2 linked regions of the Lytechinus pictus genome follow. The protein of the gene in region 2 binds, or shares a complex with, the protein of the main gene of each other region. Links are inferred from orthologs where the notes say so. Each region holds a gene or a part of one and is shown on either strand. Other genes may lie near its edges.

Region 1 (11,145 bases), on a different chromosome or scaffold from region 2:
TTTTTTATAATGTGACATTTTTTTTAAATTTATGTACAAATCGGGTTTCCGCCGAATGTTATACTAGATCTAACGTTACTGCTAATACGTTTGCTATACATACGGGCCAACAACTCTTCAGTCTATGTATGGGTGAATGTAACCCAGGGAGCCCAGGGGTTTACCGTGTATTTGACCATACTCACGGGACTAGGGTGATTTATGGTCTAAATATTTCTCCAAATGAATTGTGAAAACAGAAAGTATACAATTACCACGATTATATGGATGAAGGTCTAACGAGTGGCAGTTTCCTGACATCTGGGCACAGACTGGAACCACTCCTAGTACCAATGAGGTCCAAACATTACATGTATGGACCTCATAGGCATATCAGTAGTATTTTGGGTTAGAAATCTTTGAGAACAGGATATTTCTATATTATATCACAAGTAGAAGCTATAATTTGTTTCTTTTATTTAAATTTAAATTTTAGTGTGTAAATGCATTGTTAGCAACAACAAAAAATGAAAGAAATTAAGGGAAACTTACATTTTGACGACTTTTTCTTGATTTTCTTGGCAGTTGCTCTTCACTTCTGACTCGCGATCGGAGCTGATATGCAGATCACGTGGTACGCGTTCTCCTCAGGTGATCGGTTGGTTATTCTTTTCGCCAGACGTTGATAGTTATATATTTCATAACGCTAGCATTCATCGTAAATTTAGGTGAAAGAGATTGAAGTTAAACAGCGCAAGCTTTAATTTTTTTTTTAAATAACGTTTAATTGATTGCACAAGTTTCGCCTCGGACATGTAGGATCATTTGGTCCAATAATGGCGTAACGCGTAACTACGGGGGGGGGGGGGGGAGGGGTGTCCCTACCACTACCGTCCACAAGCCAGCAATTACCTTTTTTTCTCTCTTTTTTAAAACCAAAATACTCCCCCCCCCCCAGAAAAAAAGGAACCAGGGTTAAAGAGAAAGAGAATAATGATGGAATAAAATATAATTTATTTTTTCAGCTTTTACTGTTTTATTCGACTTATAATCAAATATTAAATGGGGCTTAGAACAGCCTTTTTAAAAGTCAATTAATAAAAAATATTCCTCCTCGGGATTCGAGCTTTCATGAAATATCAATCTTTTTCATAAATACGAAAATATTTTAAATGTCCAAATTTTGTATTGGTATATAAAGCTTTAGCTCATGCATTGCGCCCATCTTATTTTAATGTTGAGATACAAATTTATGCTTCTAATGAATTCCTAAAAACACTAAATTCTCAGATCCTTTCGCAATCGAATGATTCGATTAAGCTAATGAATGATTATTATGTTTCATGAATTGTTTAAAAGGTGTCTCTCTATCAGTTTTGAATATTTAAAAAAATGCCAGCTCGTGCTTTTTGCTCGCAATATTTTGATTAGTAAGAAGTTCTTGTAAATGCGAGTTTGATAGATAAGGGGGGGGGGTCCCTCAGCTACTTGTCCTCGCTTATTCCCAATTTTTTTATTATGCTCGTGTTGTGAGTGTTTCAAAGTCTTTTCTTATTTTTTTACCCTTTTTTATTGTCTCGGAGCTTCCCTCTATTTCTTTTAACTATGATGTAGCCCTTTTTACTTGTTTCAATTCTTTTATGTTCTCATTTCATTGAAAACATAATTATTAAACTGACGTAGAAGACTTTATTACGAAATTTTGATATTGGTTTTTCTTGTTTGTTTGGCTTTCTTTTTTTCTTCTCCTCATCCTTCTTTTTCTTCTTACTTTTTTCCATTTCCTTATTTTCTCTGTTATTTCAATTCATGAGGCATCCGCCAACTTATATACAACATCAAACACATTGGTGGTGTGCCCCTCTGAAAAAGGAGGAAAATATGAAGGGAAAAAAAGAACTGGAAGGGGAAAAAATAAGAAAAAAAGAAAGACGATGATGGCAATGGTTATGATGATGAAAATTATCTTGGTGAAGATGATGGTGGTGGTGATGGTGGCGGTGATGATGATGATGGTGGTAGTGGTGATGAAGATGAGAATGAAGTTGGTGATGATGATGATGACTAGATGTAATTTTGTCTTTGAAAAAATTAAGTAGTGCAAAGGTGAATTCATTTAAAGTTTATTATGAAAATAGCAGAAAAAAATTATTTGAAAAATTGGTATGCGTTCGAGGAAAATCCATCCCCCACCCAAAAAAAAAATTAAAGGTGAGATTAAAAAAAAAATTATTTGTGATGGCGTAGGCCTATGCGAGCAGCTTTAGGATATAATTATGGTAAAAAAAAGTAAATGAAATGTCAAGAAATACATGATAATGACTTTTATTGTACATTCAGTATTTCAATAGATAACTTCATACCCCTACTCGTTCCAAAAAGAAAAAAGTGGGTCATTACGGACCATTAAAAATGGGAAATTTTGGCATTTTATATTACATAGAATATAGAGCAACTGCTTGTTTATGGCGTCACAAATCAAGCATTCGAAATTCTATTAACTCCAATTTAAAAAAAATAATAACACCTTCACCGATATTTTGAAATTATTTTTCTTATTATCACAATCTTTTTATCAAGGTGAAATTCCCCTTTTTTATAATTTACAAAACAGTATCAGCATGATCAGTGTGAAGCGGTAAAGCATTCACCTGATAAGTATAGACCTATCTATAATTCATGCGGCACACAGCGCGTGCGGCAATGTTTAATAATATATTGCTGTGAATAGAATGAATGTCATTAAAAACATAATCTCACAGATCAAATAATGCCAGCTCGACGCTCGAGCTGAAAAAATATATTTTGTGCCCTGATAATTTTTAACCCTAACCTAACCCAATTTCTAAGTATTTTTTATCATAAACAGGATAACTATAGACAATTGATTGAAAACTTGATATTCTTTTGCGAAAATGAATATGAAGGACAACTTTTAAGAACACAGCCCGGAACACAGTTTTAGAGCGTTAGAGCGCGATTTATACAGATTTATACCTACAACCGCTAAATCCTCATGAAGCAGTTGGAACATTTCCCGATTCAATCAGCTTAATAATTTTTGCAACAGGCGCCAGTCCAACAAACAGACAAACATTTGCCCAAACGGACAACATCTCAACCTCTGCTCATTTCTTTTTGCATGGGCACATAAAATCTCTTTTCTCACTATTTTCTCCTCCCTTTTCTTTTCCATTAATTTATCTTTCGTTCACTTTATTTCTGTCCTCTTTTCCCTTCTATTTTTTTCTCGTCTCACCGATTTTCCTCATCCCTCATCCCCCAGCCCCCGACGCCCGTGCAGATTCGCAAACAATATCAAGAGTAGTGTTAGGCAAGGGCGGAAATCTCTCCCCAAAGGTAGGGGGACTAGGGGCTGGAAAATTTGACAAGCAAAAAAAAAAAAAAAAAAGGTTTATCACCCCAATTAAAAGAAGGTCATCTTGACCAAAAGAAATTTGACAAGCAAACAAGCCCCCCCCCCTAAAAAAAAAGGGCATCCCAAAAGTAAGATCGTCTCTTCCAAAATACATGTTTTATTTCGATTTTTGAATTAAAAGACCAAAAATAGTAGAGGGGCATTTCATAATGTGCCCCTGACTATTTTGGGTGAGGGGGACATGTCCCCCTGGGATTTGCGCCCATGTGGGTGGGGGTGATGCGCCTCTCTTTCGGAATCATCATGGAAGAGTGTAAATACGAGTTCGCTGTGATTTCGATCTCATACCTATAAAAAAAAATAGAACAGCTACGCCTTGAACACAGGCAAAAATGCCTAACGATTTCTCCGCGGCATTAACAACTCTCGTAAGGGGCGCTCCATTTATAAATAAAGTTGCATATGTAGCTGTCTACCGCGACAGGGCTAGTCGCAGAATTGTAGCCAGAAGCGTGGGAAATTGCCAGCAAATTCAAGAAAAGAACCGGTGAGTACCGATTTAACAGTACAAATTTATTTAGTAACATGTATTGAATCATAAGAATATTTATTTTTTCGTAAAACAAAGCTTAGTTGTAAGCTAGGGCGGCCCAAATGCGCGTGAGTGGAGTCCCAGTTTATTAACACGGGTAAGTATTGGGGTGTCGCCTAGAGTGACTGGAACCTCAAAAAAACGAAAAGTTCTCTCCTAGCTCCTTCTACCCCCGTCTCAATCGGCCATTTTTGTTAAAAATCGTAACAAAATGGCCGATCGAGACTGGGGTAAAAGGAGAGAACTTTTCGTTTTTTGAGGTTCCAGTCTGTGCCCAGATGTCAGGAAACTGCCACTCGTTAGACCTTCATCCATATAATCGTGGTAATTGTATACTTTCTGTTTTCACAATTCATTTGGAGAAATATTTAGACCATAAATCACCCTAGTCCCGTGAGTATGGTCAAATACACAGTTAGACAGCTGGCAGCCGTCTGTTTCGAGGAGTTTTTTTAAATTTTTTGTTTTTTTTATTCTCCTCGTACACAGACGGCTCGCTAGCGTGCAGCCACCATTAGGGGACTTGCAATGCGAAATCCCCCCGTCGGGGCTCTTCAATTTTTGTCTTTATTTAATGAATAAAAATTTTGAAAATTAACGCGACCAAAATGCAAATTGATATTCCCTCTTGTCTTGGCATTAATTGCCCAAAAACGGAGAAAAATCAAGTTAAAAGGAACAAAAACAGTGATTTACCTCGGCTGTCGCGCAAATTCACTTCCCCGTTTTATCCGATCTTAAGTACATAACATATGGCCATTGAGTCCCCTGTACAGATCGCGCTAGAACTTAGAAGTAGAAGTTACTTCGGTCTCTGTATTTGGTGAGTGAAGCCAACGGAGTTCAGCTGAACAACCAACATAACAGAGACCGAAGCTTTTTTTGGTCTAATACACAGTAAGCCCCTGGGCTCCCGCCCGCGGGTTAGGGTGGATGGAGCCAACGCAGTTCAGCGGAACAACCAAAATACAGATTACAGAGACTGAAGCTTTTGCCGAGTTGGTCTAGGTGCGGGTGCGCCGTTTCCAGCATAAATTTCAATACATGGGACAATATATGATTGCCATCTAAATACTTCTGGGTGAAAACCTCATACTTATTGAACTTCAATCGTCGAATTCATGCAACAAATTATAGTTTTTTTTTTTAGATCACTAGCTGTACTTACTGATGTGGAAGATAAAGCCATTATTATGATGTCATAAAATGAAATCAAAGCCAAATTCTGTTCCGAAGACTCCCCAGGATATTCGGCGATAAATAACAGTTCCGTCCCCCGGTATAGTGTCGGCGAAACGTCCGACCGCAAATGAATAAAAAAATCAAAATGTGAAACGTTTTAATAAGAGACCCTCTGCCATTATTAAGCTACTTACAAGAAGAGTGGTTTAATGAGCCGTAAATTGTGAGAGGAACAGGCATGACAGAAGCTAGAAGGAGCAAGTGTAACCTTAAAGAAGGAAACATGCTAGCAAAATTTTGATCTTTGCTTTACAAAAAAATATTTTTTGGATAGATTTTAAAATACTCAGAAAATAATATATTATTTTACTTGTTCCCATTCCTTTTCTCCTTATTTTCTTGGTCGTAAAACTTTTTTTACGGGGAGGAGGCATGCTCCCCATCTTTTTGCGAGTGCTACTAAATTGATAAATGAAAAAGTTAAAAGAAAAAAATGCATGATTATACCATGGGATTTGCATATTCAGTTTTTTTCCATTGATCTTCTTTTTAGAATTCCGCATCATTCCTAACCACATTACTTTTTCCTTAAATAAATTTCAAAAGTTTCCGTGGTGTTCAGGTCAACTAGGCACATTCTTCCATGGTGGAATAAATTGTTAAACTTTAAATGAAACGAGTTCGTACAACATTTCATATGTTTAGCTGATTTTAAAATATTATAATAAACAGATCTGGTGCCACCTTGATCTTACTCTGAACTTTGAACATAACTCCATATACTTTCAATATTATATACTTTGCATCAATGATCAATGATGCAACAATACTCTGCCCTCACACTCTTCAAAACAAAGTCCACAATTTAAAGAAAATTGTCAAAAATGGCACATTTCAGAAAATATTTAGCTTTGACAAGATAGAGGTCCTTGTGGAACCAGTTTGTGGGATACTAATTTTACTCTCAATATTTTGTGTTTTGCATCAGTGTCTGAAATTTGAAGTCAATTAAACTTCCCGCATTCATCTTCACAAACATTCACCAAAAAACATGGGCGGAAATCCCAGGGGGGACGTGTCCCCCCTACCCAAAATAGTAGGGGGGACAATATCAAATGTCCCCCCTACTATTTTTGGTCTTTTATGATGGAAAGAAAGAAATTGAAATAAAACATGTATTTGGACGAGATGACCTTACTTATTGGGTGATAACCTTTTTTTTTTTTTGCTTGTCAAACAAATTTATTTTGGTCGATTACATTTGGGGCGATAACCTTTTTTTTTTTTTGCTTGTAAAATTTTCCAGCCCCTGGTCCCCCCTACCTTTTTGGAGACAGATTTCCGCCTTTGCCAACAAATGAAGACTGAAGACACGAGACTCAGGAGAGATATTGCAAACAAGGACATCAGTCCCCAACAGGCAGCCAATTACACACACACAAAAAAAAAGAAATCATGTGTACAAAGTGCACCCAATGAAAAAAATTATGATCTTCATGTCTTAGAAGACAAAATTGTAATTTTGTTCGCCGTCTCATATGCAGCAATTTCCCTAGTGGAAGTCAAAAGCACCTGCACTGAAATTCATTAGTTGACAATGCATTATTTACTATCACACACACACACACAAAAAAAACAGAATCCAACAAAAACCATCAAATGTTGATTCATTGACTTAATTAAGTGTTCACATTTCACACAATACGAATACAACTTCGAGAGTTTTTTCATATAATCATTTAATAATAAAACATCTCATTTCAACATTGTACATTTGGGTTTCTTTTAGAAAACTCACTGCCTACCCTTCATTTACATACATGTACATAATGAACAAATATAGAAAGGAATGTCAAAAGGCAGAGATTCAGTGAAAAAAAGAAAAAGAATTCCTTGGTCCATAATTCTGAACTCTTGGCCGGATAACTTAATTACAAGCCAGAAGTTGTGCTAAAGCCAAAAATTTGCATTTGATTTTTAGGTTTATGGGGTCCTTTCTAAGGCAAACTCAAAGAAAAGTATTAAACTTATTATTTCCATACAATCTATAGAGGATATTAGTGGCTATCCATGGTTAAACCAGAATTGGGACCTCCCAAATCCCTGGTTAGACATTGATCTAGACGGACCAGGGCTCCGTAACACAAATAGCGATCAATCGCTAAATGAACTGACCAATCAATATCAATGCTACACGCGCATTTGGTTTAAAATACTGACCAGGGACCAATCAGGTCGGTTCTTTCATGTTTGCAATCCATCCCAAACCTTTGTGTTACAGAGCCCTGATCAGGGTTTGAATTCAACCAAAGTCCAGAATATGGACCATAAAGCCATATTCTTGTCCTCTACCACAAAACAGTAGAGTCAATTGAATGTAGGGATCTCAGTGGTTGGAACTTTTGGAACCGTCATCTTTTCAAACTAGCAGAATCTAAAGGCATAATGGGTGATTTCAAGTTAAGTGTTGACCTTTTGGTGTTAATGTTCGGTCCATTTTCACATGAGCATAGCACCAAATGTAAAATTATATTGGTCCTGAAAAGTCACTCACTAGTCACTAGGTGTTGCGCAAGTAATATTGTGATCTGTATCATTTTTGTAATTAAACTCAGAATAGGTTTGGGAGCTAATGAAGGCAACATAATCCAAATTGTGCTTCCAACACTAACACCAACACCGGACTAAAAACTGTTCAATATGTGTATATTCTATTCCAATGTACAAGGGATATTGGATAGTGCATGTTATTACAACTTTACAATGAATGAAAGGGGAAAAATCTGAATTTTATTTGTTCAGCACGTACATATTCTTTTTATCAAAGGATTTCTTGAATGTTTTTAATCTGCCAACGTCTGTTTCCATTTGTGTTGTAACATGTGCCCTTGACCTAAAATTATTGAAATTTAAGGCATACAGTTGGCATATCTGGGATGATCCGCGGACTTACATTATGATTTGTTTACGGATAAAATAGGATTTATAATTATTATCATACATAAAAGAATTCAACTGGAAAATCTTTCAAATGAAACCTGATTTTCTGTTCTGTATTATCCTACAGAATCGATTCAAATAATATTTTCCATCCTTCGCATACTACAAGTGCATAAACAGCTACACATATACGGTATTCATACACAAACTCAATGGCAGTGAATGATTTATCTTAGGGTTAGGGTAAAAATATAAAAGCAAACATGACAATAACAATGGAGTACATGCATTATTTGACGAGAAAATATTCTGCTATATTCTTGTAATGTTCATTACATTATCGAGGGATACTTTGTCTGCTTCCAAGTCTGTATTGCTGGTGCGTTTCCATGGTTATTTGAGGCTTGTATCGACTAAAAATGTGATTTATAAAGCAGAATGGAATGTACCTTTGTAATTTACTACTAATCCTTCCTGCAAATGAAAAAAAAATCTTCCAAATTACACGTACATCAAAACAAATTCTGTGTTTTGACTATCTCTATTTCTATCCATCAAATAAACAAAACATTCTGAAGTGAGACCAATGGCAATCTTCATCACCCTATGAGTGCGATCTTTTATTTCTAAATTATGTGGGTCAAAAAACCCTTTGCACCTTTTGTTTTTGTCTGTTACCAAGTAAATGGGATGAGTATCAACTCCAGTGAAAGTAATCAGAAATATATATCTAACCCACTAATTCCCAACTCCCAAGTATTGATGAAAGAAAAATATGTAGCAAAATATAAAATAAACAAAATTTACACAAATTTACAAGAGTAATGTCGTGCATAAAAATAGCATCTTTAAAAAAAATGATCATGGAATATTTACAAATGAGTTCAATGAAATGAGTTTGGTTTATCAAATTAACGGAACATTGAAAATCTTCACACAAAATTCAAAAATATATATCAATTTTTGTTGTTTACCTTTTATCGACAAAGGTCCTAGGAATTTTTCTACATTACTGTGAATTTACCCCCGAAGTATGTACATAAAAATTTCAGTGTCAAATCCATAAAGCCATAATGATGATTCATGTAAAATGGTCCCCTTCACACAAGCATAATAAACCAGACTGTTACACTATCTTGGAGTCAAATCAAATTTACGTTGCATAAAGAACATTTTTTTTAATCTGGCAAACTGTACAAGGGGAAAACAAGTAAAACCTTGTGTGAGGTAGAACTGATACATACAGTTCTTTTGGCAAGAAACTGGTTTGTCTTGTTCCCTTTTCTAACATATCTAATGCCCAAATCTAATCAAATCAAATCAATAAGTTATTGCCACTACATTCTTTATGGGTTAATTATCCCTTGAAATCCGTGCTCCACAATCAATTGACAATTTCCAGTAGAGTTATGGAGCATGTACTACATGTACATGTATATAGATTTTAACCCTATAAGGCCCAAGGGGGGGGGGATTCCATACTCCCCTCAATATTTTTGTGCAATAATCTTGCAACGTGAAAAGCAATCACCACATTGTTTCATAACTATTTGTACTTTCCAGTCTCACACAGAGTCTCTACACAAAATTAGCCACTGCACTTTACAATTAATCTGAGCGCACCTTTGTTTTCACTTTCATGCGTACATGTAAGTTCAGACATGGATGACATGGGTGCATTGGGCCAAGATCTTAAAGAGGGGAAGAAGACTCGGGGGGGGGGGGGGGCTCTGGCTGTGAAATGGGTCTAAATAGGCCCTAATAGACTAAGAGTCAGACTTTTTAGGATTAACAGTATTGCAACAAGAATAGGAAGAAATATAAATAAAAAAACATGGACTGCTTATAATGTTCAAATATGGTACACGAACAGATCACTAAATAGATAAGTTGTTGTGCAAGGGGGAAAAAACTCAGTCAACCTAACAGAAACTGATAGTCTTACAGTTACATTTTAAATCTTATCATAGCACCTTAATACAGATAGTATTCTTAAAAATGAAAACGTTGTGAGAATAATGGCCGAGAGTTAAATATATTCAAATTGCTCTAACCATAACCCATATTCTTTGCATTTCTAACAAATGATGTCATTTGATACGTTGATACTAAAATCCCCTATAGAAATTACATGTACACCCCAAAAGTTAATCTCTGCAGGGTTAATTGAAAAAAAATATATATATATCTTCAAAATATGTCAAGATATACAGTCAGTAAAGGTGATGTACCAGAAAAAAAATCAACTTTAAGGCAAAGTTTGAGGTAAAGAAAACTTATGATTCGTCTCACTCTAAGCCGTATCACACATCTTCATACACTCTCTACATTGTAATTATGATATAAATATAATTGAAACAGTGACTGCAAGTCTCCAGAAAAAGACATGTTAATTTTTTACAATTTGTTACATGAGTTTCAATGGTTGTGTATCAATTTTCAGATTTACTACAGTTAATTAAATGTTACTTTTACCACAAGTAGGGGTAATGGGATGATTATATCAAGTGGTCATCAGATATTGACAGAGTTTGCAGTTCAAGCTATCTAATATTGAGCACAGCAAATAATTTCCTGGTATTGCATCACAATTTGCTCCACATAATTTTATGACAGCTACACAAAATTTCACTTGTGTAGCATTTTTTTGTACAGAAAGCTTTTCTCTAACAACCACAAATGCTAATAAGATTTAAGAATTGAAATTATTCCCTGATATATGGGGTACGGTTTTAAAATCTGTTCCACAATGTAAGGAATTTCATCAAGAACTCATACAGAGCAAGATGATCAGTATTGCTATAACATGTAATAAGGAAGGTCATTTCCCATGATGTTACCCTCTAAAGATTCTATGACTGTTACACGTGCAATCTCACTTTCTCGGCACAATCATACAACATACATGTACAAAAAACATCTGTTCATATAAAATGCATAAAATGGGGTTTGGGAATTCATTCAAATACTGAAAATTATTCAAAAATTCCAAAAATGGACATTTTCTCAAATCTGAGTGACAGATGTTTCTGGAAGATCAAGAACACTCCTCATAGTCAGTCTCGTCACCCGT
Region 2 (10,975 bases):
ACTCTATATAGTATTGAATTCTTTATTATTATTATTATTTGTCATTAGCTATAGCATGTATTGTCAACTACACACACCACCAGTTGGCTTTACATTTATAGTTGGTGCTATATGGCTAATTACAAATAATAAAAAAAGAGTCTAGAACTAGACTAATAGAGAACTTGCACCCATGGCAGTTATATTTTGACTCCCCTTGGTACTTCATGTATGACCAATTCCAGATAAAATGTACTCACAAAGGACCAAATGATTTAATGCTGATGTTTAAGTATATACCATTCATGTATGCAAGTTTGGTCAGGTCATATTTGAAATGTGTGTAAATTGATTTAGGGGGTGAATTTTTACCCACCTCTCATTCTTCACTACCTCTATGAACTTCTCTGCTGCATAATGATATAATAGAAAGTGGAGTCTTTCAAATATGCAGACAAATATCCACAAGTATTATATTAAATATCCATTCAAGCAAAAGAATATATAGTTTCCAACTGTAAGTAAAGCAAGTAAATCAACTGGCCTGTCATCTATATTTCCTTCATACATGAACAAATTGTGTGTAAGTGGTAGTTTTACAATAAAGAAAGGTGAAGAAAAAAGTATGCTGGTCTTGGTGTATCCTATTGATTCATGGCAATTTCATTTTAACTCTGTTTTACGTTGAAAAAATAACACCCCTTTTTCAAAAGTGCATAAAGTTTTTATCAAAATATTTGAAAGGAGTCTTCCTCGTTTAACTTCTATGTGAAATGATAGTGATCTGTCAAGTCATGCATAAGCAAGTCTTGAGCACACATAAGAGCCCAAAATTGTCAATATTCAACATTTTGTTTTCTGCCAAAATAACAGTAAATCAGGGCTTGACATTAGCTGTTGCCTAGGGCAACCAAAAATGAGAGTTGGGCCACCAAAATTCTGTAAAAGTCAATACTTGGTGGCCTGGTTGGGCTACCAAAGTTTTGATAAATTGTAATATTTTCTATTGTTTTTAGGGCCACTTAATTTGCTTTACGAGTCACCAAAAATATGAAATTGATGATTTTGGTTGACTGATCGGGCCACCGAGAAAAGTTAGTGTGGAACCTTGAGTAAATAACAATGTTTTGCTTTATTCACATTGTGTAACCTTGACCTCATTCTTTTGGCTTTTGTACATTCATGAGTCATTTTAATGGATAAATCTCATTTTCACACAACTGATAAAAATTTGTCAATGAGTGAAAAAAATATCCTGTCAAATTAATTTAAGCAAAGCACATTCATTAGAGGAGAATGAAACCCTTGAAACCAGCTGAATCCATATCAAAGAGAAAAATCAAAGAAACATATTGTTGAAAGTTTGAGGAAGATTGAATGAATAATAAGAAAGTTATGAGCATTTGAATATTGAGATCACTAATGCCATGTAGATCCTCCAATTGGCAATGCGACCAAGATCTGTGATGTCACACGTACAACTCCCTCATTACTTTAGTACTTATTTCACTTATATTCTCACTTTTATAGAGTCTATCACAAGGTGAGGTGTTCTTTTTATGAGAGGACAAGTACAGAGGTTTCACAACATTATATCATTGATGAATCGTTTGTCATATGATTAGAATGAGCAAAAAGAGATGTTTTGGGGTATATTTTCAGTGTCCAAAAGGGGAGAGTTGTTCATCTGTGACATCATAGATCTTGGTCGCATTGCCAATAGGAGGATCTCCATAGCATTAGTGATCTCGACATTCAAATGCTCACAACTCTTCTATTGCTAGTCCTATTTTACTCAAACTTTTGTTGATCTTATTCTTTGATTTTTCTGCTTTCACAAAAGCTAACTTGCTCCAAGAGTTTCATTCTCCTTTAAGAAGTAATGTTATTTGCAAAAAGGTGAGTTAACTAAATTTTTGTTATTTTATATTTTTATGACAGGATTTTTAGCAAAATTATTTTCCACTTGTATATAATTTCAATTAGCTACATTATTTATATAAGTCATCTATATTTATGATGAAATAGAGACATGTACCCACGTTCCCTGTCAGTGATAATGGAGAAACTAATCCTGGGGCCCGTCTTACAAAGAGTTGCGATTGATCCGATCAATCGTAAATATGGAAAGCCAGCAAAGTCAACATATAAAATGCACGATTATTCAAAAAAAAATTCTAGATATGAATGCATCCATAAATTCATTGATTTCTTGACAATTTGGTGTGTTCTCCTTTGTTTACAAAGGACAGTTTGCAAATTTCCTGTAAAAAAATTATGACACTGATGGATCTCCATAGAGTTACGATTGATTGGATCAATCGTAACTCTTTGTAAGACGGGGACTTGATCTAGCAATAGAAAAGGTCATACAATACAAGTCTTCAGTAACCTAAAACAGGTACAGTATAGTGATAACAGGCAATTTGATAAACCACATGGTTTAACAGGATAGCATAGGAGGAGACAAAGTGGAACACAAATGAAAGGGAGGGGGAAAGACATGGATGAGAGCCTGGAAGAGGAAGATATGAAAGAGATTACTTAGTGATCAACCGCGTAGCCAGGATTTCATTTTGGAGGGGGTGGTAAATGCACGCGAAGCGTGCCAACGCTTACAGAGCGCGTTCCCTAGGGGGTGGGTGCAGGGAGGGGGAGTTTCCCCCTCCCGCGCGAAGCTTTTGGTGTTTCATAAATTAAAATGAAAAGGAGTTGTCTCTCTTGTCTCTAGTATCTATATCAGCTCGAATTCAGTTGACTATATTGTGATTTTGAACCTGGTTTTCATGAACCTTGTTTTAAAAAAAGATTGTGAACGCACAAAAAAGGAATACAATGGAGGAAATTAAAATGATAATAACCCCGCGCGAAGTGCGGCAGCTAAAGCGTTTTATCAATTTTTTGCCATGAAAAGGGTCCCGAGAAAAGGATATTCTCAAACATATATTGAATACTTCCCTTGGAAAGATCAGATTTGATTACAAACAATTTAGCGACAGTGCATATCTTTAACTCGCAAAACAGAGGAGAAGAAGTGTATATGCATGGAGGAAGAAATTCCTCCCCGCGCAGAGCAACGAAACTCTGAAATTTCAAAGGGCGGATGTTTCATCAAAATAATGCAGATACCTCCAATACCCCATCGGCTCTAATTCAATTAATTTTCTAAGATTATTGAACTTCATTTAAAGGAAAATAGTGCGCAAAAAGTTGAAACTTCTGTGATTTATTGAAATTATATAAAAAGGATGCCTAATTTCTTTGACTTATCCTGAAGCGCTTCATTTTGAATTATAAATAAACTTAAGAGTCATTCGAAATTTCAAACTGAGGGCGAAAAACAGGACAGGAGATGAATGTACAGGGAAATGACATGAAGTTGAATAGAATTTGATAAAAAATATTGTACTTTTTTATTTAATACCCTTATACGATACGAATTTTATACCTTCCTCTTTTTGGATTAGGAACCTGTTTGCCCCAAAAATTATGGTTGTTTAGTAATGAGCTGAAAAGCGGGAGAAGTTGACTTTATGGAGGTGACGGCAGAAATTGATATAAAGATTTTACCCGCCCGGAGCCGACCCGACCAGAAGTTGCGCGATCAATTTAAAAAAAAGATAACTTCATATACTTCGGCCTGACCTTACTCTAATTCCATGCCCTAATGTATACATTTGAACTTTAACTGGCAATAAACACATATAGCTGAGGTAGAAAAACAGGGTTAGAGAAAGGGTGGGGGAAACAATTGGAGATCTTCAATATTTTCATTTAACCGCGCGCAGCGCGGAAGCAAAATTCATAACCATAAATTTAGAGCAAGAGTGAAGGAGTTTCTCTTTTGAGAAAAAAAAAAGAATAAAAAGAAAAAAAAAACACAAAGCTACCTTTTTTCCCTTTCCTCCCTTCCCTTTTCCTTTTCTCCTCTCTTTTTTTCCTTCTTTTTGGGGACGTTTTGGGGGGGGCGACCGCCCCCACCGCCCCCCTGGCTACGCGCCTGTTAGTGATACAAGTACATACATATTTGACCTAAGATACCTACCATTAGACAGGACCTGTTGCATATTTATTGATTAAATACATGAGAGATTCATTACTTCCATTTTAAGCCAGCTTGAAAAATATGATGTATTTTATAAAATACAAATTTGTTGTGTTTACTTCAATTAAATTAGGTACATGATCATGATAGAATAGGTAAAGGAGATAGATAAAGAGAAATAAGTGATTTGAGATTGGATAGGATATGGAAGCTTAGCATGGGGTGACTCCTTCCTCCTGGAAAGTGATAAATTTCTGAAAACATTCCCCATTTTTTCTGTTATTTCAGGGTAAAGTATCAGGGTCCTCCTGTCTCACAAAGAGTTGCTATATTGATCTGATCAATGCAACTATGGAAGGCCAGCAACAACGTCAACATCTAAAATGCATCTTTGTTCAAAATATTTCCTACATGTTGTATATTCATACATTCATTGCTTTCTTGAAAAAGTTCTGCATGCTTCTTTTTGTTTACAAAGGCTTTATTGTGCAAATTTCTTGTAGAAAAAATATGACATTGATGGATTTCCATACAGTTAAGGTTGATCAGATAAATTGCACCTCTTTAGTTTAGACGGGGCCCAGGTCTGAATATTATAAATAATAAACTTAAAAGTGCTGTTTATCAATAGGCTTTAATTCCATTGGCTGTTTCAGCATGGATTGCTGCATATAGGACCCGGATATAGGATATTTGAAGAGAGCATAGAGATACAAAAATTAATTATGGTACAATATGGCAATCACAGTAATTCCACTATATCAAAAAAGTTGTTATGGAAGGAGATTTGTTATAAGTGCCCTTTTCAAGGAAATGTTTGTTTATGTCCCGGGTTTATGTCACCAATCAAGAGAACTTTTATATTCCAGGGATATATAGGCCCAGGGTGAATGGCATTCTATGGTAGTTGGGCCATTGTATACGGTATGCATAGTAATTCCTTTTTTGTTTTACAATTTTGTATTACAATTCAGAAAAGAGGATTATTTTTGGTGGCGTAATGCATGTAGGGCCTAAGTAAAGTTGATAATTGGTCCCTCCCCCGTCAACCTTTCAGATGCCACTATATACCACCAGGAGCTGGACAGAAGATCCTGCCAGATTGAACCTTATAATTATGTAAAAAAACAAAAGGCTGGGCCGAAAAGGGAGCTCCAAAAAAGCCCCCCCGCCCCCTCCTCCTCCCAATGCTGCGAAGAATTGTAGTGCCATAGAAAGTGTAATCTGTTTTCCGTTTTGACTATGGGATGGCTTTTTAAAATTTTCCAAAAATGCTTTGTTATATATATGTTTTAATCCCTTTCTCAACGCTGGAGACGAGGCCTTGTACTTGTCAGACGTGAGGTGGCGCAAGACCACTAAAATCGACGACTTCAACGGTGTACGAGACGTCGACCCTGTACGTACGTAAATTGTACGTGCGCGCGCCCATACCGGTATGCCATATGACGAGTCTGGCGGCGAGGCCGAAATACAAGTCGGAAAACGGAACATCATGTCGAGTTTTCAGCGTCATGGAGATTTCACAGTGACAAAATCTACTAAAGGAGGTGGTAGAAATTACTACGGTAAATATAAAAAGATGTTCTTTCTGTTTTGCATGATAAGTGTAAGAAAATATTTGCCGGTTTTCTCAATCATACTGCGTGTGAATGTTGAAAAGTTTGTAGTTTTTGTACCGTACGGTTCCGGTACCCAGTTGTTGTTTGTCCGGACAGGTTGTGTGTCCGGACGATCAATTTTAGAAAGTCATTTGGAAAAAAATACAAGCGAAGTTTCATCAATTTTTAGTACAAAACGTTAGGAAATATTATAAAGAACAAAACAGAAGATGATTACAAGTATTGAATTTATATTTTTAGTGTAATACAAAGACAAAAAAGAAGGCGTCAAAAAGATAAAGTGTCCGGACACCCGACCCCCCCATCCTACCGCTTTTGAATGTGAGAGACCATTGGCATTGCCATTGATTATGAAAGGGGGGGGGGGGGGGGTGGCCTCTGCTCGCCTAACTATTTTTTAAAGTTAAAATTTAACATGAATTCATGAATTTCTTTTTATTTCACAAACATTTTCTGTTGATAAAGTTCCTTATATTCTTCTGAGTAAGTGTGCCGAAAATCTCAGATACGATTACCGGTGTCAGTGTGTGCTGTATCAGTGTATGTGTAATCACAATTCCACAATATTTTCAATTAGTACCGTAAGGGCACTAGTTAGTAGTATTCAACCCGGCATAATTCAAAGATTTTGACAAATTCCCCCAAATATTTAGCACTTTTGCACTGAATTGCACTAGTATTCAACCTAGTGATGATAAGCGAATTTCAAAATGGTTTAAATTGCTAAACTAGATAGATCTATGCAAGTCTCTGGCTTTGACTAATTCCGTTTCTTGGTCTCATCTCAAATGGTCTAGTCCATAGGCAGATGGGACAAGGGCAGATTGAGAGACAGGGCCATCTTATAATCGCTAGGTTGAATACTAGTGCTGACGGATTGAATACTAGTGCCAAAAACCATCGCCGTATAATTCGATCGCCCGCGCACACAGTCGACGGGTTGAAGAAAAAAATAACGCAAAAAGAATAACCAGCATTTGCTCTTGGAAGTAAGACAGGTCTGAAATTAAGGTAAATTCCAAATTTCTATATCAAGGCTCCACATTAACTTTTTTTGGTGGTGGCCCGTTTGGGCCACCAAAACCATCAAATAATTTTTTTTGGTGGCCCGATATTAAAGTTTGGTGGCCCGAAAAATATAAAGAAAAACATTAAAAATGAATAAAACAAACTTCTGAAATATTAATTCTGCAGCCAATACCACTATGTTACTTTTACTTTATACATCTTGTATGTAAACCTTGTTTGCTGTTATTTTACTTTGCTAATTGATAAATGTTTCTATCGTTGTAAAAATGAAATGATTGAAAGAGAATAAATGAATTGTATTGTTCGCAGGTTGTGTGGACTTTTTTAAAAATCTCTGTATAGAGATAATGGTAAAGTAAATAAATAGTGCATAGCAAATTCAGATAGATGTACAAAACAATGGTTTTTCCTTCCTTCCTCTTTGAATCCTAAAACCTAGATTATGCATGCCCCAAATCCAGTTTATTTCTGTTTTCTCTTTTGCAGCATATTATAGAAGGAGAAAATCACAGAAAAATATGCTGCAAAATTAAAACAATGAATAAAAGGGGGAAACAAACGAAAATAATTTTCAAAAAGTATATTACAAAAAGAAAACAAAAATAAAAGAAATTAGTGAAATAAAATAAAAAGAAAGAAAATCATAGAAAGAAAAAAACAAAGAACAGGGAAAAAAAGAAAAGAAAAAAATTAGAGAGAAAAAAGAAAAGAAAATGAAAGAAAAATTAATAAAACAAAGTTAATAAAAAAATGGGGAAAAGGAGAAAATTAAGAAGCCATTACATATATTTTTAACAGCTGTGGCAACAGTCTATTCTGACTGGAATATAATTAAAAGCCAAGCAAATAATTTTCACTTTTTGGGAATGGCACATTTTTATTTGTATATCCTTTAGTTTGTATTATTTTATTTTCAGTAGAAACATATTTTTTAATCAGGCATATTCACTGGGAAGGGGTATAAATGGTTTAACCACTGTCAAAAAAAATCAAAGGAAAAAAAATAAGAAAACGGCAAAAATTATATCTGGAAAAAAGTGTGAGAAAAGTCCTTCCCTATGTTTGCCAAAATGTTGGAAAAAAAATCACATTTCATATCAATGAAATGCCTTCCCAAAGTATTTACTTTCTCAAGAGTGGTTTAAGAAGTCATTTATAAACAAGAAAGAAAGAAACTGTCTGTTTGTTTTTGGCTAGAAAATACACAGCTTCGAAAGAAACCAAGTATCAACATACATACAAATGCACACGTGGGACTGTGATGTACTTGCCTATGTGTTTTTATGTGTATTAATTCATGTGGAAATCGGTCTTTTTTAGTCAAAAGAGAGGTCATAATTCCTCTTCTTAATACTTGCAAATAATCAGGGTACACCAGATTTTCGTAATATAGACTGTAGAATTGCATTTCATTGGTGTAAAATGTGACTTTGACTTAGATTTTCAAAGTTCTGTGGAAGATTTCTCAGCAGCAACATTTTTTATCGCAGCTCCCCGAGTCTGAATAGGCTGAGCTAGATCTAGAGCACAGCTGTATGCAGTGGCTTCATGCAAAGCTCATGCCAGCCGGCCGGCGCGTCTGGCTGGATAATAGCTACTCTATGCTGTAGCTGTAGGCCTAATATGCAAACTTTGTGTGTGTGTATTTGTGTGTAGATCAACAAAAAGGGCGCATGACGAACTGGCTTGCAACTTGAGCTGTAGAAAGTTGATAAATGCGTGCAAAATTGGGAGAAAAATTGCGCTACTTTGAAAATTATTGGTTGCCCGATTCGGGCCACCAAAACTTAACATTTTATCAATAATGGTTGCCCGAGGTGAATTTTTGGTGGCCCTGGGCCACCGGGCCACCGCTAATGTCGAGCCTTGTCTATATATTTGAGGAAACTCTCCAAACGGGTTGAATACTAGTGCTCTTACGGTATGTAAAATGGAGGGCTTCTTCTGCTTCTTCCTGTTACTGCGGACAAACTCCTCAATTGGGATATGATTGCTGCAGGCATGTGTGGCTAGTGATGAATTTGATTTTGAATTCATGATGATGTGCCCCCCCCCCCCCCCCCCCCGGATGAAAGTAGACATTTGAATTTTGCTTAAACTTTTCTTAAAACTATCAACCGAAACTATTAACCGGCTAGGGAATGTGTAGCCAGGAGGCTTCTTGAGAGTAAAAATCATTTACTAACGTATGCTTACTCTCAATGAAGCCAGGGATTCCTTCCTATTCATCTGCATGTACCGCCAAAAAACCTGAAACTTTCGCCCCTGAGATTTCTACTTTCCTTCTAAAACATCTAGCCATAAATCATGTATGGTAGGGGGTCCTAAAGCTACGCACCACTCCAATGCGCATGCAATTTCAATTGCAAAATGCGCACTCTGCAGTGTGACGGACGATTCCTTTCACTTTTTTTCTACAGAGGCTGCAATAAATCGCTAAATACAGAGAAAACCAGCAACTGTTTGGAATTTTTGAGTTATATTCACTTTGATTTCATATTTTTCTATAAGAATATGAACATTATTTAGAAGTTTAGGTACAGGAAATTATTTTTCTTTGCATGATAAATTGAGTGCGTAGCTTAAGGACCCCTTCTATGTCGGGCGGCGAAATCAAGAGGTGTTCGGAAAACACAGCGGGATTTTCGTATTAGTGAGTTTTGTGATATTTTCTTTTTGGTTATGAATCTTTACAATATTTAACACAAATTTGTGAAAGATGATTTGTTAGAATATTAAAATTGGCATAGTTTTTATCGTTTGTAAACAAAGTGCGTAGCTTACATGGGATAAAACTTCATTTCCGACATTTCTACGCTCTCGGTTTTATTTTTAAACAAGAATTCAACGTTGGGGAAGTACAATAGGAAACAAGATGGCGGCGTAAACATCGGGCAAGTCTCTTCCGTCTTTTCACAATATTTTTCTCATTTTTAAAATGAATTCTTGTTTAAAAATAAAACCGAGAGCGTAGAAATGTCGGAAATAAAGTTTTATCCCATGTACATGATTTATGGCTAGATGTTTTAGAACTAGGAAAGTAGAAATCTCGGGGGCGAAAGTTTCAGGTTTTTTGGCAGTACACGCAGATGAATAAGAAGGAATCCCTGGCTTCATTGAGAGTAAACATACGTTAGTAAATGATTTTTACTCTCAAGAAGCCTCCTGGCTAGGAATGTGTGGTTGGTACAGGGGGTGGATTTAGTGCTGCATGGATTTCCCACTCTGCTGAAGACTTTTTGATATGTTTACTCAAGAGTGGATTGCAGTCACATGGTCAAATATACGACATACACCGAACACAAGAAAATCTACTCACATGACAGTCCAATGCACAGAAAAGCCCAAACTCCAAAACACCCTCCAAAAAGCAAAATTTTGTCATTAAAATTAAGTGATGAATCTGTGTCTTATTTCCGAACTATGCAGCGGGTTAACTTAGACAGCAGAAATTAGTCTGTTTGGAGGAGTTTTTAATCATTTTTTATGGTAGATTATGTTGAGATGGCAGAGACTAACCATAATTTTTCATTCTTACGGTATGTATTTTGTGCCAAGGGATAATCCAAGAATAAGCTGTAGAGTAATTGATTTTGAACTAGTTCATGTTTTGGGGTGTTTCTTTTCTCCGGAAAAAAAATTCCAAAGACTTGGTGAATTGAAACATTGTTTGGAATATGATCATGAATTAGCTCTGACCTTTTTATCACTTGTTTTCAATGAATACTTGCAGGACATGATGATCGCACTCGAGAAACACCAAGTGGCCACTGGCGAGGTGGAGGAAGAGGAGGGGGAGGTGGAGGAAGAGGAGGAGGAGGAGGAGGAGGAGGAGGAAGAGGCGGGGGACGAGGAGGAGGAAACAGAAATGACTGGGATCAGAGTGACAGATATGACCGAAATGATAACTTCAGAGGACAAGGACGCAATGACTATGACAGATATAATGACAGAGATGGTGGTTATAGAGGAAGGGGAAGGGGTAGAGGTGGTGGACAAACAAGTGGTAACAGTGGAGGTGGAGGAAGTGGTGGTGGAGGAAAATGGAGAGGAGGTCGTGGAGGTGGTAGAAGAGATAAAAGGAGAGGAGGAGGAGGAGGAGGAGGTCATCGAGGGGATGGAGCTGGAGGAGGAATGAATAATAGGGATTCAGACCAAGTTCATCCAAGGTCAAGATTAGAAGATGATGATGTATCGATGGATGATGGAGACAATCCAAAAGCAAATTCGAGATTGTAAGTTCTATTTATTTTAAATATTTTGAAACTAAAATATACCTCTGTCTCTTAATTACTGTGTT

What was found.
Region 1: the proteins of nuclear RNA export factor 1-like (region 2) and NTF2-related export protein 2-like are in contact, whole or in part, in a crystal structure (PDB 6IHJ), measured with the Drosophila melanogaster proteins. The link is inferred for Lytechinus pictus from reciprocal best matches to the Drosophila melanogaster genes sbr and Nxt1. Residues at the interface, in NP_524660.1 of Drosophila melanogaster: Leu359, Leu360, Glu361, Thr362, Lys363, Ala364, Ser365, Tyr366, Met404, Leu405, Ser406, Ile407, Ser408, Met409, Pro410, Gln414, Arg426, Asn427, Leu428, Arg429, Arg438, Thr439, Leu442, Tyr444, Thr467, Val468, Asp469, Thr471, Ile472, Met477; in NP_611833.1 of Drosophila melanogaster: Met1, Leu5, Val9, Glu10, Ala13, Asp17, Arg21, Thr43, Ser45, Trp46, Asn47, Gly48, Asn49, Gly50, Ile52, Tyr60, Leu64, Leu71, Asn72, Thr73, Leu74, Asp75, Ala76, Gln77, Pro78, Ile79, Val80, Asp81, Leu91, Met93.

The regions. Positions count from the first base shown.
Region 1 is NC_087249.1:38,558,077-38,569,221, reverse strand, and holds the start of NTF2-related export protein 2-like, read right to left. Parts: upstream 5,260-11,145; 5' UTR 5,140-5,259; coding exon 5,119-5,139; intron 1-5,118.
Region 2 is NC_087251.1:3,279,102-3,290,076, reverse strand, and holds the start of nuclear RNA export factor 1-like, read left to right. Parts: upstream 1-5,447; 5' UTR 5,448-5,462; coding exon 5,463-5,592; intron 5,593-10,408; coding exon 10,409-10,910; intron 10,911-10,975. UniProt on the Drosophila melanogaster protein: Mediates the export of the majority of mRNAs from the nucleus to the cytoplasm. In ovarian follicle cells, plays a role in transposable element silencing regulation by enabling the nuclear export of flamenco (flam) transcripts and subsequent piRNA biogenesis.